Linked DNA regions of Canis lupus familiaris. The protein of the gene in region 1 interacts with the protein of each later gene in a biochemical or structural test. Links are inferred from orthologs where the notes say so. Each region holds a gene or a part of one and is shown in the gene's direction. Other genes may lie near its edges.

Region 1 (4,530 bases):
GGAATCCATAGCCAATGACCTGATTGCCTTTATGCGGTCATTCATTAAGTGTGTCCTTGAGAATTTACTAAATACCATGACTGCTGGGAGCAGGGACTCTACAAATGAAAATGGTGTGCTTCATCCCTTGGGGTGAGACATGTACATAGACATCTATACCATGAAGGAGGAGCGATCGCATGTCATAGGAAAGAAATGGATGCAAGAGGAGTTCAAGGGGGAAACATAATTAATTCCACATAAAGGAATCATGGATCCTGCACCAACGTCCAGGGAAAATAATACCTGGCTTTTTTCTAAACCATCCGAAAAAGTGGGCATGTGGTTATTCAATGTCAAAGAGAGGAGGCGTGGGGGTAGGATGTGATAAAATTAGGGAGGCAGGTCTTGGGAAATAGGGAAAAATGTCATGTGACAGCACCCCTCCCCTCCTTTAGATACCCACTCAAGAATTTAATTCCTTCAGGTTTCATCAAGGCAAAAGTATTTACTGTAGAATTGTGCATTTGGGTGGGGGGAGGAAGGAGAGGGAAGGTGGAGGATGGGAGGGCTAGCTCTCATGTTTCACAGATGTTGATTTCAAGTTTCCACCTGGTAACAGCCTGGGGGCCAGGGCATAAAGATACAAGTCAAAACATAGAGACACACAGGGAGAGAATTAAACAGCATCCAGCAAGGGAATTACAAAATCTCAAAAAAACCTTCCAGTGGCTAAATAAATACCTTTTCTTGTATTTACACTTTCTCTTCTATATTTACTGAAATTTGAAAAGAGCCACAGACTCTGTTGCCTTTTCAAAGTTCTGGACTATATACAAGTGTTGTCCGGGAAAAATCAAAATTTTCACACCCAGGCTAAATGAAAATGTGACCAATTTCTAGTATCTGTGTGTTTGATTTAGAAAAATAAAGAGAAACTCAGTGGCTGGTAAACAACAAGAAAGATGATGAATAATATGAAATGATAATAATAGCAATAAGTGACTTTCTTTTCATATAAATCCATCACTTTCTTCCAGGACACTTTAGAAATCTGTTCAAAATACATAGAAAAACTCCACAGCAGAGTCCTTGGATTTGCACAAACAGCCCAAGGCAAGTAAGCATCTGAAAGAGTATTTTCACAGAAATCTACCCATGTGTTTTCCTGCAGACCACATTTAAAATATCTACAAAATTAATTTAGTTCCATTTGCCAGATTTACATACACATCATGAAAGCAAGAAAAACGGTCATTTCGGAAGTATAAACGTTCCTTATAAACAAGACTCGAAAGGGTGGATAGTGGAGTCAGGCTGGGGGTGGGGAAGCAAACCCTTTAGTTACTGTGTTTTAGGGAAATGAATCAACACAATAAAACAAATTTCAGATCAAGTTGCCCCTCTATACCACATAAGCAGTTTAGAGTCTTAAGCAGATGCAAAAAGAATAAAGCAAATGGGGAGAAAAAAGGCCGATAAACTTTCTGGCTGCCATACAAGAGACATATCATTACCATATGATCTAATGTGGGTGTCAGCCGGATTGTGTTCATTGAGGGAAACCTTATTTTTTAACTGTGCTATGGAGTAGAAGCAGGAGGTTCTCAACCTAGTGACAGTCACAGAGCAGCACCTACCCCCTCCTCCTTTCCACACCTGCAAACTCTTTTGCTTGGGCTGAATATTTAGTGTAATTACATCTCAGCTTTGAGGGCTCCTGTGGCAAATCCCCGGATTAAAAGGTATGGTTTTCAATAATTGTCCTGAACTCTGCTACAGACTAATAAAACTTCGATCAAGTTGAGAGCAAAAGGAATTATTTGGTGAGAAGCAGAAAAGAAAAAAAAAAAAAAGAAAATCGTGCTAAACTTTTGATAATCTTTATGCAGCATTTTAAACAAGTATTGCTTGAAGACAGAAGTTTAATTTTTGGTAAAATGGTTGAATGCATTGTTTTAGTTCTTTCTGTTCTTGCAAAGATGTTTATTAAAAAAATACTCTAACCTAACACCATGAGTATCTATATTGATATATTTTGTATTTGTATTAATGAAATGTTTTACCTCTTTAGAAAGTATTTGTAGAGAAGTTTTCTGGATCAGCAGAGTATTTGTAGTTGGGTTATATATATAAGGATTTAGTTCCCTCTTGAATTCTTGCATATTTTCAGAACTTTTAAAACCTCAGAGATGTGAACTCTGGTGATTAACTGCAGAAGTCAAATAAATGTATATTTCTACAACCTAGGAAAGAATAGAAATTATCACGAGAGGTGAAAATAAACATTGAAAATACTTATGCTACTTATTAAAGATAATCTCACAGTTAGCTACATAATTCCTGACAGAGAAGGAAAAAGCCCAGACAGTATTTTCAATGCAAATGAAATTTTATTGTAAGGTACATCACTAGAAAAGGAGGGTGTAGGGTGTAGGTTCTTTTTCTTGCTAATTTTAAAACAAGGTAACACAATGACCACTGGTTATGTGGGCTCCCAGTGACATAAATTCCTGTGGGTTTTTCTTTTCCTCTTGCTATTTTGACTGGAAAAAAGAACCAAATGCCTTATAGCAGTCCTTATATATGGATAAATGTCATCTGCAATGTCTATTTTAAATTAATTATCTTAAAACCTCAATTATTATTGAAGTTTTTCATTCACCTAGTGCTGGGGGATTTTATTTTGCTCTGCAGTTACAGTTTCATTTATCTCCTGAGGGTTAAATTTTGATATTGAAAATCATACCAAAGGCATAAATCACATCCTACAAATAATCTGAATGATAGAGTTAATTTAATGGGCTGAAGTAGTTTAGGGAGCCAGAAATTACTATTTTTTATGAAACTCTTATAAACGGTGGCGACTAACTTTAGTGGAGTAGTGACATTATACTTAGCAATTAGCATCTAGGAAAGAGTCATACTATTTTTTTAAGAAGGCTTAAAATAATTTCAATGAAATTCAGAAAGTATGTTACCTCAGTAATAATCCTCTTGGTTTCTGCAAGGGCAACTGCTACTTTTTTGTTTATTTTTCTTATATACTAAGGAAGAAAGGAAATGATTAAGAAATTTTTAATATCAATAGCCCCCATTAATTGTTTTAAGATGCTGGGTCTACAAGTATGATGACACTAATTTAAAAGAAATCATTTCATGGCTGAATTTGTATGAAGTTTCTGGACATGTTATTCTCCAGGACATTCAGGGTTAAAAGGCACACACACACACACACACACACACACACGCACACACAAATCAAAGTGATATAAAATAAGTAATGGAAGCTCGAAACTTCTTGCTTGTGTTCAGCTTTAACCAAGAAAAAATTGTGCAGAGAATTTGCACCATTTTAACAAGAGTAAACACATACAAATGATAATATTCCTCTGAGCTAGAAAAAAATTTCCTTTTTTTGGGTTAGTGAAACAAGCAGGCATTTTCTGTCCTGGAGAAAAGATCAAAAAGCAACATCTGCATTAATTCTCATTGCTATTTATTAAATCTGCAATTACTTTGCTTCATTTTTCGTCTAAAATTGTAAGATATTAAATATGCAAGGCTAGCAAACTGTGGTAAACCGTAAACATTGCATTTTAATGTGAAACAGACAGAAAACCACTCCCTTAGATCCAGTCCAAGGGAACAGGGCCAAAACAATAGGGTGTCCGTTAAAAGGCAATGCAGTAACTGAATGGGAACACGCTCCCAGGGAAAACCTGATACTGAATTTAAAGGGGCAGTGTAAATAATAATCTTTGCAGGGTTTTTTAAATGAGAAGCCACATGCTGTATATACGCTGCCTTACACACACCTCAGCAACAAATATAAACTAAGAACAAAAGGGTACAAAATCCAAAAACTTTTTTTTTTCCCTCTAGAGTGCATCTAGCCAAGAATTCCCAGAAGATACATAGATAGATGCATTAAGGTTAGGACAAAGTTGTTTGTTTTTTTGTGTGTGTGTCTTTGTTTGCTTTTTGTTTTTGTTGTATCGTTGCATGTGTTACAATTGGCAGATGACTAAAAATTATTCTTGATGTCTAGTTATAAATGTGCAACTTTTTTAAAATAAATTTATTTTTTATTGGTGTTCAATTTGCCAACATATAGAACAACACCCAGTGCTCATCCCGTCAAGTGCCCACCTCAGTGCCCATCACCCAGTCACCCCCACCCCCCCGCCCTCCTCCCCTTCCACCACCCCTAGTTCGTTTCCCAGAGTTAGGAGTCTCTCATTTTCTGTCTCCCTTTCTGATATTTCCCACTCATTTTTTCTCCTTTCCCCTTTATGCCCTGTCACTATTTTTTACATTCCCCAAATGAATGAGACCATATAATGTTTGTCCTTCTCCGATTGACTATAGAAATGACCCCTGAAAGTATAGTCTTTAAATGTGCAGCTTTAATATGATTCTTGTCAGTGTAGGATTCAAAGTAGATGTGGGGAAACGAAAGATAGTATCTGCTCTGTGTTTTGGGAATCTTGAGAGCAGTTTCAGGAGGGTTTTAAAACATATCAAGTCAAAAACAGACTGCTTGTTCTC
Region 2 (4,235 bases), on another chromosome or scaffold:
AGGCCACAGAAGGGAGGTCAGCTGGTCCAGAGGTTGGACTTTCTATGAGGGCACTGGGGAGCCATGGAAGGGTTTTCAGCAGTGGAAGAACAGAGATTCAGAAAGATCCCTTTGGCTGCCTCATGGATGGGAGTCCAGAGAGAAGGCTGGGGCAGAAACCCAGTGGGGAGGGGGCCGGGGGCCTCCATCGCTCCCGTCCTTCCTCCTTCCCTCCCACCCTGCAGGCTGGCCCCGGCTCCATCTCCAGGTGTGGTCGCAGGACAGCTTTGGCCGCTGCCAGCTGGCGGGCTACGGCTTTTGCCACGTGCCCAGCAGCCCGGGCACCCACCGGCTGGACTGCCCCACGTGGCGGCCCCTGGGCAGCTGGCGGGAGCAGCTGGCTCGGGCCTTCGTGGGTGGCGGCCCTCAGCTGCTGCACGGGGATGCCATCTACAGCGGCGCCGACCGCTACCGGCTGCACACGGCGGCCGGAGGCCTGGTCCACCTGGAGCTGGGGCTGCTGCTGCGCCACTTCGACCGCTACGGGGTGGAGTGCTGACCCTGCCTGCCCGGGAGGGGGCCGGGGGCTCTGGACACTGTCGGGTCTGACCCCAGCCAGTCCGGCAGTGGCTTCTGTCCCCACTAGCACCTCCAGCCCGGTGGCCACCCCCTCAGATCCAGTTTCCTTGTCTGTAAAATGGGGACAGTGAGTGTGCGGGGTGGCGGGGGTCAGGTGAGAAGAGGCTGGTTTGCCCTGCAAATGCTCAATAAAGGAGAGCGGTTCTTACAGGTGTGGGTGCCCTCCTGACTTCCGTCACCGGCCAGGTGCCTTGTGCCCTGTCCTCCCACTGACACCCTCCTTCAGGCCCCCACCTCTGACACACCCACTTCCCCTACCCTCTACCTCAGTCTCTGTCCCCCTCCCCACTCTGGGTTCCCCCACTTAGGACCCTGTCTCCTTGGGGGGGGGGTCTCTCCTCTGTGCCCCTCTCCCCCTGGGACCCCGTCTTCCGGCGGACCCTCTTCCCAGCCTTCCCACTCTCGGATCCCCCGTGCCCGGTGTCCCCAACCTCTGATGGGGCCCGCCCGCCAGGTCCTTCTCTCCGTGACCCCGCGCAGCCCTCGGAGCACACGCCGCCCGCTGGCCCGCTAGGGTTGCGCTCAGCCGCCAGGAGGCAGCACCCCGTTCGCGGGGCGGAGCCGGGGTGCCCGCCCCCTCCCCCCGGGGCTTAAGGGACCCCCCTCGGAGCCCGCCCACGCGAGATGAGGACGGTGGCCCGGCCCCCCCATGTCCTCCCCCTGGGGGCCGCCCCCGCCCCGCGCGCTTCCTGGGTGGGGCCGGGGCGGCTTCAAAACCCCCCGCCGCCCCAGCCGGTCCCCGCCGCCGCCGCCGCCGCCGCCGCCCTTCGCGCCCCGGGCCGTCCCACCCCCTCCTCCCGCCGCGGATCCGCCAGACAGCGAGGCCCCCGGCCGGGGGCAGGGGGGACGCCCCCTCCGGGGCACCCCCCGGCTCGGAGCCGCCCGCGGGCCGGCCTCGGCCGGGAGCGGAGGAAGGAGCCGCCGCGGAGCAGCCCGAGGCCCCAGAGTCTGAGACGAGCCGCCGCCGCCCCCGCCGCCGCCGCCGCCACTGCGGGGAGGAGGGGGAGGAGGAGCGGGAGGAGGGACGAGCTGGTTGGGAGAAGAGGAAAAAAAGTTTTGAGACTTTTCCGCTGCCGCTGGGAGCCGGAGGCGCGGGGACCGATTGGCGCGGCGCTGCCCCGCCAGGAGGCAGGACTTGGGGACCCCAGACCGCCCCCACCGCCGCCTCGGACGCTTGCTCCCTCCCTGCCCCCTCCACGGCGCCCCCCCCGGCGCCCCCATTCCGGACCAGCCCTCAGGAGCCGCCAACCCGGACTCCCGCGAAGACTTGACCCCAGACCTCGGGCGCACCCCCCTGCACGCCGCTCCCCCACCCCCAGCCTCTCTCCTGAGCCCCCGCGCATCCAAGGACCCTTCTCCGGGATCCGGGAGACGGGACCTCTCTCGGACCTGCCTCAACCCCCCTGCTCAGGACCACCCACCTCTGGTACCAGATCTCGCCCATCTCGGTTTTTTCCTTGGGATACCGAGAAACCGCCCATCAGAGCCTCCCCTCCACCTCCGCTCCGTTCTCGCTGAGGGCTTCAACTACCCCACCCCCAACCCCGACCCTCCTACCTTTCTTCGGGAGACCCCCCAGCCCCTGTAGGGGCGGGGCCTCCCTTTTCCCTCCCCAGCCCCGCTCGCGCTCTCGGCAGTGCCGGGGGCGCCGCCTCCCCCATGCCGCCCTCCGGGCTGCGGCTGCTGCCGCTGCTGCTGCCGCTGCTGCGGCTACTAGTGCTGACGCCTGGCCGGCCGGCCGCCGGACTGTCCACCTGCAAGACCATCGACATGGAACTGGTGAAGCGGAAGCGCATCGAGGCCATCCGCGGCCAGATCCTGTCCAAGCTGCGGCTCGCCAGCCCCCCGAGCCAGGGGGAGGTGCCGCCCGGGCCGCTGCCCGAGGCCGTGCTGGCCCTCTACAACAGCACCCGCGACCGGGTGGCGGGGGAGAGCGCCGAGCCGGAGCCCGAGCCCGAGGCGGACTACTACGCCAAGGAGGTCACCCGCGTGCTAATGGTGGAAAACACCAACAGTGAGCTCAGAGGGGCCGGGGACCCTGGAGGGGAGCCCCCAGGGGGCGCCGCAGCGCAGGGGTCACGGGGAGGAAATTACTGGCAGAGGAAACCGGCTAGAGGAAGAGGACCCCCGGGGTTGCCGGGAACGCGGGAGGGGGTCTCAAAGAGGACAGGACTGAGCTCCCTAACCCCCGGGTATCTGGCCCGGAGAGGAGGAGATAGGGGCTTAGTGGACCGCTCCTAGAGGGCCGTGAGAACACGCGGGCCCGTGGGGCAGCCCCCTAGAGGGAGAGAAGCAGTTTGGGGGGGTGTGGAAGGATAGAAGGGCTTCCCTCGCCACCGGGCACTAGAGGGTGGGGGTCCTGGGGTGAGGGCTGCAGAGAGGGAGCCCGCTTCGGGAGAAGCGAAGTCCCCAGCATTTGAGAAAGGAAAGGAGAGCCAGGAGGGGAAAGCTGACCCAGGGCCCAGGGGTCACGAGGCGAGAAAATTCAAGGACAGAAAAACTAGGTGAAGCGAAGCCCCGAGGTGCCGGGGAAGTGAAGAGCGGCCCCACTCGCAGCGGGCGCGGGGAACACGCGGGGCTGGGGAGGGCCCACAGAGACGCGGCGAGGGGGCTGCTGAGTGCGGGGAAGAAGGGGGCCCGAGGTCGTGGGGTGGGGGGAGGTCCCAGCGGGGGCGCAGCGGAGCCCCCCGGGATGCGCGCCAGGTGCCCCGAGTATTTGGCATAGGGACGTGAGCCGAGCGAGCCCCCAGGACACTTGGGCGGTGGGAAGGGGTTTAGAGAGAGGGAGACAAGCAGGGGAAAGGGGGGGCGGGGAGGGGGTGCAAGGAGACATAAATAGCGCCGTGCCGGGAGCAGCGAGCCCCCCACGCCGCGGGAGGGGAGGAAGTGGGCTGAGTGAGGACTCGAGCCCTCGGGGGAGAAGTGGGTGGGTGCGACTCTGCAAGATCGGGGTGAGAAAACCGACTGGGTCGGGGTGAGGGAGCCCCACGTGGGTGCCACGCGCGGAGGGTGGAGCCTGCCCTCCCGGAAGGCGGGGGGAGGAGGACCCCGCACGGCTGAACGGGGAGAGCCTGGACCCCAGATTCCCAGTTCCTCTCCGGGAGGCCGGGGAAACCCCAGCGTCCGGCCGCCTCGTCCTCCCTTCCCTTTCCTTCCCGTGCCCGGGGGGCGGGGATCGCGCGCGGAGCCTGGGGCGAGACGGGGCAGGTCGCGTCCCCGCCCTCGCGGCGGCGGCGCCTCCCGCCCTCTTCACCCCTGCGCGGGGCGGGGCTGCCGCTGGGCCCGCCCCCCCGGCGCCCACGCGGGGACCCAGGTGGCCCGCGTGGCGTGGAGATTTGGTGGGGTGGGGTGCCCCTGTTCGCACACTCTGTCTTGAGTGGTGCACCTGTGGGTCCCCCTACGCCTGGGTGGCAGCTCCAACCAGATGACGCCCCTCCCCACCCACAGCTCGGCCTCACCTCTTCCGTGGTCGCTTCACCTTTCTTTAACGCTGACACCTTCCATCCTCGCCTCCCCTCCCAGGCTGCCTCCATCTGGCCCCCAAACCCCGTGTCTCTCCCGCGTGTGCCTGCCCCATCTCTGCCTTTCCTCTCTCCTGCATTTCCCTGCACGCTCTC

What was found.
Region 2: the proteins of DCN (region 1) and TGFB1 form a complex in vitro, tested with the Homo sapiens proteins (3 studies listed by BioGRID). The link is inferred for Canis lupus familiaris from reciprocal best matches to the Homo sapiens genes DCN and TGFB1.

The regions. Positions count from the first base shown.
Region 1 is NC_049236.1:32,179,981-32,184,510, reverse strand, and holds the start of DCN (decorin precursor), read left to right. Parts: upstream 1-1,570; 5' UTR 1,571-1,724; intron 1,725-4,530. UniProt on the Homo sapiens protein: May affect the rate of fibrils formation.
Region 2 is NC_049222.1:113,412,142-113,416,376, forward strand, and holds the start of TGFB1 (transforming growth factor beta-1 proprotein), read left to right. Parts: upstream 1-1,385; 5' UTR 1,386-2,277; coding exon 2,278-2,632; intron 2,633-4,235. Other genes in the region: B9D2 (B9 domain-containing protein 2), read left to right, coding at 225-538. UniProt on the Homo sapiens protein: Transforming growth factor beta-1 proprotein: Precursor of the Latency-associated peptide (LAP) and Transforming growth factor beta-1 (TGF-beta-1) chains, which constitute the regulatory and active subunit of TGF-beta-1, respectively.